Schizosaccharomyces pombe: one gene and its partner. Changing the gene in region 2 together with the main gene of any one other region gives a genetic interaction. Each region holds a gene or a part of one and is shown on either strand. Other genes may lie near its edges.

Region 1 (3,929 bases), 1.2 Mb from region 2:
TTACAACTTGAGGATCGTCTTATACTTTCAGTATTGCCAATAATTTACAGTTACAATGATACTTAAAGCTTGCGTTTGTTTAGAGCCGAATATATATATATATATACACGAAAGGCTTTTTAGAACCACCTCGTCATAAATGTTTCTTTACTAGGCTCGCTAATTTCCATCTGTGTTTTTTTTTCACGCTAGCAAACTATGCTATTGCAATTAGTTCATTCTTAACGTCCTAATTCATCTAGTACATGTCATTTTAACTAAAAGAATTTTTCCTGAAAGAAAATTGGTTCTTTCATTTGAATATCATTCTTTCCAAAAAAAATGTAGAAATACAAATAAGATTATAAATTGGCAAAGACGCGATTGGACTTTAATTAAATACCCATCTACAGCCAATAATTAAAAAACAATAATAATTGTAATAAAAAAAAAGAATTTTTCAAGAGTTGTTCATCACTTCATATTTTTTCTTCGAATGTTAATAGAACAGCAACTTCTATTTATAAGATTACTTATAGTTTGTTAATTATTCCTCTCTGTTAAATTGGCAGACATCAGGAGAAGAGACGCAGCAGACTCAATTTGTTATACTTTCCTTATTAACATTTTTTTATTTTTTATTTTATTTTATTTTTATTCAAAAATTCTTTCTAATTTTTTTATTCTTACTGTTCGTCTTTCGTTCTTAAGTGCCGTCATGCATGTTTCTCAATTAGAATTTCAAATCTAAATGCTTTTTTTCAAAACAAGTAATTCATTGATGAGCCTTTTATCTTTACTAATAGTTCTATAGTCTACCTAAAACAAAAAAATAACCTATTGAAAAGCCTCGATTGTACACAACCAAATTTAATAAAAATTGGATTGCAAAAAGGCTTTCTCATTACTCAAAACAATATCTTTGAATTGCAAACTTTCAATTTTACATTTCTGACTGCAAGTTATCCATCAAGTTAAAAGAGCTCGCCCACAAACCCTGGTGTAACTACAAAACCTTTAACTTACCGCTTGCACTGTACGTATATCCAGAATGGCTAAAAAGAATAAAGCTCGGTAAGACATACATGCTTAATTTAATGCGCATTTTTAACATTTATTTTTCAGTTTGCTTGTAAAATTATTGTCCACCGCTGGCACTGGATTTTTCTACGTTCGTTCACGTCCAAAAGCTGCTCCTAAGCTTGCTTTTATAAAATATGATCCCAAGTAAGTTATTATGGATTTTCTAAAGCCTCATTTAAGAAGCTAATGAATGAACCCATAGAATTCACAAAAGAGTACTTTTCGAAGAATCCAAAATGAAATAAAAACTTCTTCCATTTCAATGATAGTCTGAAAATGAAATGCTAAATTATGACCGATCAATCTACCTTTTTTCTTCAAAAACTTTATGGATGTGCATTAATTATGTATTAGCTTCCCAACCTACATCTTATACGACATAATTCTAAACAGCTGCGTGAACATAAAGACCCTTATATTATTCTGTCATATCTATAATTCCTATTTTTATTATTATTATTTAAGAGAAGGACTGAGATGTCAAATTTTCAAAGTAATAAGAATGTTCCTTTCACCTGTACCAATTGCTAGCCGAATTAGAACTATAGTAGTAACATCGTTTGTGTTTACTACTCTTGTAAGCACTGTAGCTCAGATCATTCGATTCTAAAATTCTCAAGCAATATTTTTAATACAAAATGGTTGTACTATTTAGAAATTATGCAAAACATGGCAAAGCATTGAATTGCTAAAACCAATCGTCGTTTAATGTCTTCGTAACATTTAATTATTTGTTTTCTATTAGCTTATACGATGCAATTATTTTTATTCCCTCGTTCCAATTCTTAGTGTAAATTTTTGTCTACCTACATTTTCTATGTGGAGCAAACTACTACACTTTTCAACGCTTTGATCACGATGCCAAAGAAAGCTGCATTGGACGAGCTTAAATGGAAGGAAGTCAAGCTTCCTGACCACCTAGACGACTTCGATGGGTTTATGGGCTTGGAAGAGATTGAAGGTGTGGATATCAAATATCAGCCAAAAGGTGCTATGAAAGAAGTAATTTATGAGGTATAATTGTTTATTATCTAATTTATTAACAAACAGTTACCAGAAGTTCATGAAAAAAAAGATAAAAAGCCGGAAAAGCGAAAAAAAGATCAAAAAGAAGCTAGTGAAAAAAAGAAAAAGGGAAAACGTACTTCCCCTACTATTGAAATGACTTCACTAGGATCAAAGGTGACTTCTAAAAACTATAATGAATTCTCTACATTAGAAGAAGAGGATGAACACAATTCTCATGGTGTGGACGTCTCTGCTTGGGCACACTTTTCACTTTCACCGGAAATGCTTGGCTCGTTATCTAAAGCTGGCTTTTCAAAACCGATGCCAATTCAATCATTGGTAATTCCTGAAGCTTCTATTGGATTTGATATCATTGGAAAGGCAGATACCGGTTCAGGAAAAACTTTAGCTTTTGGCATTCCCATTTTAGAGCATTGTCTTCGCAATGTAGATGCAAAATACGTACAGGCTCTAGTTGTTGCTCCTACCAGAGAACTTGCTCATCAAATTTGCCAACACTTTGAACTTATCAAGCCAAGTCCTAACATTCGTGTTATGTCTATAACCGGTGGATTAGCAGTACAGAAGCAGCAGAGGCTTCTTAACAAGCACCCTCACGTTGTGGTTGCAACTCCGGGTCGCTTGTGGTCTGTCATCAACGAGAACAACCTTACAGGAAACTTTAAGAAAATCAAGTGTTTGGTATTAGATGAAGCAGATCGTTTACTGCAAAAAAGTCATTTTGAAGAATTGAGCAAACTACTTGAAATTTTAGGAAATCCCATGCATACTCAGCGTCAGACTTTTATCTTTTCTGCAACTTTCGATGAGGGTTTACAGCAACGCCTTAAAAAGAATATGAAAGGCAATATAACTGAGAAATACAACAGCCCGATGGGTATGTTCAATTAGAAATATTTTACTTTCTCACTTACTAACGACTGCATAGAAAATATGTTGAAGGAGGTTCGTTTCTTTGGCAAACCCAAATTTTTGGATGCCAATCCTCAAAGTGCAGTGGCAAGCCGCGTATTAGAAGGGCTCATAGAGTGTGCTCCAGCTGAAAAAGACTTGTATCTTTATTATTTGATCATGCGTTATCCTGGAAAAACCATGGTTTTTGCCAATGGTATTGAGGATATTAAGAGAATCACTCCTTTTCTAAATGAGTTAAAAGTTCCATCCTATCCTCTACATGCTCAATTAGATCAGAAAAAAAGACTTCAATCTCTTGAAAAGTAAGTTATTTTTATTTATATGTTACTAACTAACAAGGTTCAAAAATAATCCTAAAGGAGTCCTTGTTTGCACTGATGTGGCCGCCCGTGGTATTGATATTCCTAGTGTTACGCACGTAATTCATTATCATGTTCCTCATACAGCTGATATGTATGTTCATAGAAGCGGTCGTACCGCTCGCGCTAACGAAGATGGCGTTTCAATTTTAATGTGTGGTCCTAAAGAACTGTCACAGCTGAAACGACTATGTTATCGGTTGAAAAAGAAAATCGAGACCTTTATTAATTTTCCTGTGGATATGTCAATATTGGACATTTTAAAAACGAGGGTCGTCTTAGCACATAAAATTGTAAATCTCACTAGAAAAGACGGAAGAGTGGGACGTGAGGAAGCTTGGTTAAAATCGATGGCTCAGGAATTGGGAGTTGAAAGTTCTGATGATGAGGATCCGGATTTGCCAAAAAAATCTGAATCTAGTAAGAATAAGAAACAGATAGCGCATCTTCGCTCAGAGCTTGCTCCCTTATTACACGAAAAAATAAGAACAGGATTTTCTGGTAGATACTTGACGAGCGGTCTTGTAAATATGGCTGAAAAATTAGCCAACGAAGAAGTTCATG
Region 2 (3,929 bases):
GAGCAATGGTTCTAAAAAAGAAGGATTGAAGCATTGTGATGCTTATCTGAGAAAAGCTCGTGATTTTGGTGGAGACAACGAATTTGAAAGTAGATTGATTATTCGTGTGCAACTTGCAAGGCATGTTGTTCGAAAATGTCTTCAATCAATGTCATGAGTTCTCGTTCCTTGCGTAACAAATTGGTTTCAAACACTTGTTTTCTTCAAAAATCTTCTCTCGAAAAATGAATGCATCAAATTAGTTACTATATTTTAATGTTTTTAAATAGACGAATTATGACTGCAATTACAAGCTGTTGTTCTTAATCTTTCAACTTATTTGTGCTTCTCGTCTGCAGCTTTTGCCATTAATCCAATTTTCAATATATAATTTACAATACGACTGGAATTAAGTAATCTGTATATAATGTAATCCATAACAGTATTTATTAAGATCCCATATCTAACACAAAACTTTACCAATATATATATCCATAGTTTTACCCAACAAGACCAGTATTTCTTCAAAGTTTTATCCTCTTCGAAGGCTTTTTATCTTCTGTATCTTCTAACTGTTCCATGTTTCGCCAAATCTCTTCCTCTTCTTCTTTTGCCGCTTCTAATTCCTCTTCTTTCTTAATTATTTCGGCATCTCTTTCATTAATAACAATAATACTGGTAGGAAGAGCTTTAATATATGCATTTGCTAGCGGTTTTCTATCAGCATCAAAAATCCTGACGTTTCTATCTAAACCAGTAATAGCAACTACATTACCAAGGCAATGAATTGAAGAAGGGGCACCCTTTACTCCTTGAAATCTTCCGATGACTTTTTTCTTTGAATGGTCAAAAATTGAGATTTGAGCACGCTTATCAGCAAAGTAAAGTAACCTAAATTTGGTCAATATGAGTGCTAGAAAGAAAAGAGAAAAAAATCTTTAAATGGCTTTGGAAATATTCAATTTATTTATTACCATAATGCCTTTGATTTGCAAAAAATCGATAAAACATACTTGATTGAAGGAAGCAAACCAACATGACTTAATGGTGAAGTAGAGACATCAAATGTGGAAACCGGGCGGCGGCCGTGTTTCGTATCATAAAAGCGTAACTATTTGTTGTTAAATAAAGGTTCAATACTGTGAATAATCAAAATATTATCAACTGCTTACCTGACCATAATGAGTAATCGTAGCAAAATGGAAGCACAGACTTTCATCGTCTTCGGACTTTCCGTCAATAACATTAATAATATCTTCCGTGAACACAATTCCAGTGATCCACACGCGCACTCTAAGATTCAGGGAGTCATTTTTTACATTTTTTCCCTGGAAAACTTTTACCACGTTTTCTGTTCGCCAAAGTTCTAGTTCATCAATGTTCGATTTGCACGTAGGATTGCAAGAATACAAACAAACATCGTTTTCTTTTCCTCCAGCAGCGATTATTCCTGGTATTCTTGGATGTAACTCAACAGCGGACAGGGGGCCATGTAATTGAAGTTTTCGAAGCTTCGAAGATTCAATGTGTCTAAACAACAAATTTCCATCACTTAAAGCAAGCATTAGCCAACCATTAGAGTATTTCATGGAAACTATGGAAGCAGTCTCTAATAAAGAGCTGTCCAATTGCCAAAGACTAGACAAAATAGGTGGTTCTTGGTTAACGTTCCAACATTCAATAGTACCATTTTTCCGAGCGACAAATACATTCTAAAATTAACAAGTTAATCAGTGTTTTTCGAAATATAAACACAGGATATCCTAGTAACGCGCAATCCATTTGATAATAGTAACGAAGAAACAAGCGTCAATAAAGTTGCTTCTTTTTAGTTCATAATGCGTTATCACAGAAATCTCAAAAATTCCGTACCATTTCATGCTTCAACATAAAAAGCACTCCTTTTTCTCGATCTAACTCTCCAAATTTCTGAATAACTGGTGCTTCTGACTCGGGGTTTGAGGTGTCAGTACCTTTTTTTATTTCTATGACTATAATCACCTTTATTAGTACCGACGAACTTGTGAGTGGATTTCTTACATTTTAATTGCCCGATTTCATCACCAAGAAGCAATTTCATCTTGAAATACTACAACTTTTGTCGTATATCGCAAGAATCGATTTGGTTGTTGAAATGGGTAATGAGAAAAACTTTCACCACGAAGGTAGGAACGTGTCCTTTTAAAGGGCAAATTTTAAAACCATTTTAAAAAACCTTACAAGGTAAAATAAAAAAAAGAATGAATTGTCAATTTAATTTAGGAAATGTCATTTATTGAATGGATAATTTAGCTTATCGATAAAAAAAGGTTGTAAACGGACTAATCGCTCACATGTACTTGAATATAAGAAGAATTGTAATATATCATTTTCTATAGAATAAGTGCTCGTCAAAGGAAACTGAGTTTTGCAGCTGATTCATTTAATTGAAAGTTTACAACGTTAGCGTGTCAAGTTGCCTTATCAATGAATGGGATTTAAATAATTTCTTAAACAGTTATTTTTTTTATAGGAATAAAGCAAGGTGGAAAAACATAGTTTGGTCAGTAAGTATACGAGAAGAAGTTTGAACTATGTAACAGCTTCAAATGTTTATCGATAATGAAGTTAGAGCGCTCTACGAAATAGAATTGAATAAACAATAAAATTACCAAGTGTTGTAAAATACTTCCCACTCAAATACAATGTTCAGTAACTTCCATAATATGTGTAAACTAGCGAGAACGGAAGGTATCTTGAAGAGCTTATTTTAATGGGAAAAACAGTTCGGTTTGTTTAGAAGTTAAAAGTTTTATCATCTAACAATTTGGTGTAATACACTGACATGCACGTTGTATTTCTCCATTAAGTACATCCACTTGTCCTTTGCGTTACTGAAGGGTTTTACCAAAAACCGAGTTCCAACCTTTAAATCTTGGAATAAATGCTTTGGTTAGATCAATACCGTCCAAAGACGCTTGCATCTTTGGACTATCACAAACAACTCTCAGAACGTCTTATTTCCTTGTCGTCTACTAATGAGTTTCCCCATTTGTTAGTGTATGGGCCCAGCGGAGCAGGAAAAAAAACTCGGGTGGTTGCTATATTACGAGAATTGTATGGACCTGGCTCAGAGAAGGTATGTTTCTTCATAGTCTGACTTTCATTTAATTAAATATACATGCTCACAATGAATGTAGTTGAAAATCGATCAAAGAACTTTCTTGACTCCTAGTAGTAAAAAATTACAGATCAATATTGTATCAAGTCTTCATCATTTGGAAATTACGCCCAGCGATGTCGGAAATTACGACCGAGTCATTATGCAGGAGCTTTTAAAAGATGTGGCTCAATCTGCACAAGTTGACTTACAAGCTAAAAAGATATTTAAAGGTATGTCTTCACTGTAAAGTGAAATCAATATGGAATTTTTGTGCTCTTTTTTGTTCCTAGGTGTCTCATGTTATATTCTGGTTGGTGAACTTTCAATTCTTTTCCTTATTTTTATCTGCGCTCGTACTAACATGCTCCTTAGTCGTTGTAATCAATGTGGCTGACGAATTAACTAGAGACGCTCAAGCGGCTCTTCGTCGTACCATGGAAAAATATTCCAATAACATTCGTCTGATCTTAATTGCCAATTCTACGTCGAAAATTATTGAGCCTATTCGATCTCGTACGTTAATGGTTCGTGTTGCAGCCCCTACGCCAGAGGAAATTATCCTGGTAATGTCTAAAATCTTGACAGCCCAAGGCCTTGAAGCTCCGGATTCTCTGCTTAATAATATAGCGAATAATTGTGATCGGAATCTTAGAAAAGCCATCTTGCTCTTAGAGACCGTTCATGCAAAATCTCCAGGCAACAAGCAACTAATCGATACTGGTGCGCAACTCCCTTTGCCTGATTGGCAAACATTTATCCAGCAGGTCGGTGATTCCATGCTTCAAGAACAAAGCCCTGCACGTATCCT

The links.
Region 1: of wdr74 (region 2) and mak5, a mutation in one rescues a mutant of the other (synthetic rescue), as found in Schizosaccharomyces pombe (one large-scale study listed by BioGRID).

What each region holds. Positions count from the first base shown.
Region 1 is NC_003423.3:2,698,351-2,702,279, reverse strand, and holds the start of mak5 (ATP-dependent RNA helicase Mak5), read left to right. Parts: upstream 1-1,883; 5' UTR 1,884-1,920; coding exon 1,921-2,076; exon of another isoform or gene 2,077-2,112; coding exon 2,113-2,968; intron 2,969-3,019; coding exon 3,020-3,308; exon of another isoform or gene 3,309-3,345; coding exon 3,346-3,929. Other genes in the region: mrpl39 (mitochondrial ribosomal protein subunit bL33m), read left to right, coding at 1,031-1,053, 1,105-1,206, 1,265-1,307. UniProt on the Schizosaccharomyces pombe protein: ATP-binding RNA helicase involved in the biogenesis of 60S ribosomal subunits and is required for the normal formation of 25S and 5.8S rRNAs.
Region 2 is NC_003423.3:1,535,029-1,538,957, reverse strand, and holds wdr74 (ribosome biogenesis protein wdr74), read right to left. Parts: upstream 2,136-3,929; 5' UTR 2,060-2,135; coding exon 2,020-2,059; exon of another isoform or gene 1,971-2,019; coding exon 1,852-1,970; exon of another isoform or gene 1,776-1,851; intron 1,692-1,775; coding exon 1,152-1,691; intron 1,091-1,151; coding exon 993-1,090; intron 871-992; coding exon 504-870; 3' UTR 391-503; downstream 1-390. Other genes in the region: SPOM_SPBC83.16C (uncharacterized protein), read left to right, coding at 1-157; DNA replication factor C complex subunit Rfc5, read left to right, coding at 2,903-3,097, 3,159-3,351, 3,494-3,929. UniProt on the Schizosaccharomyces pombe protein: Involved in the biogenesis of the 60S ribosomal subunit.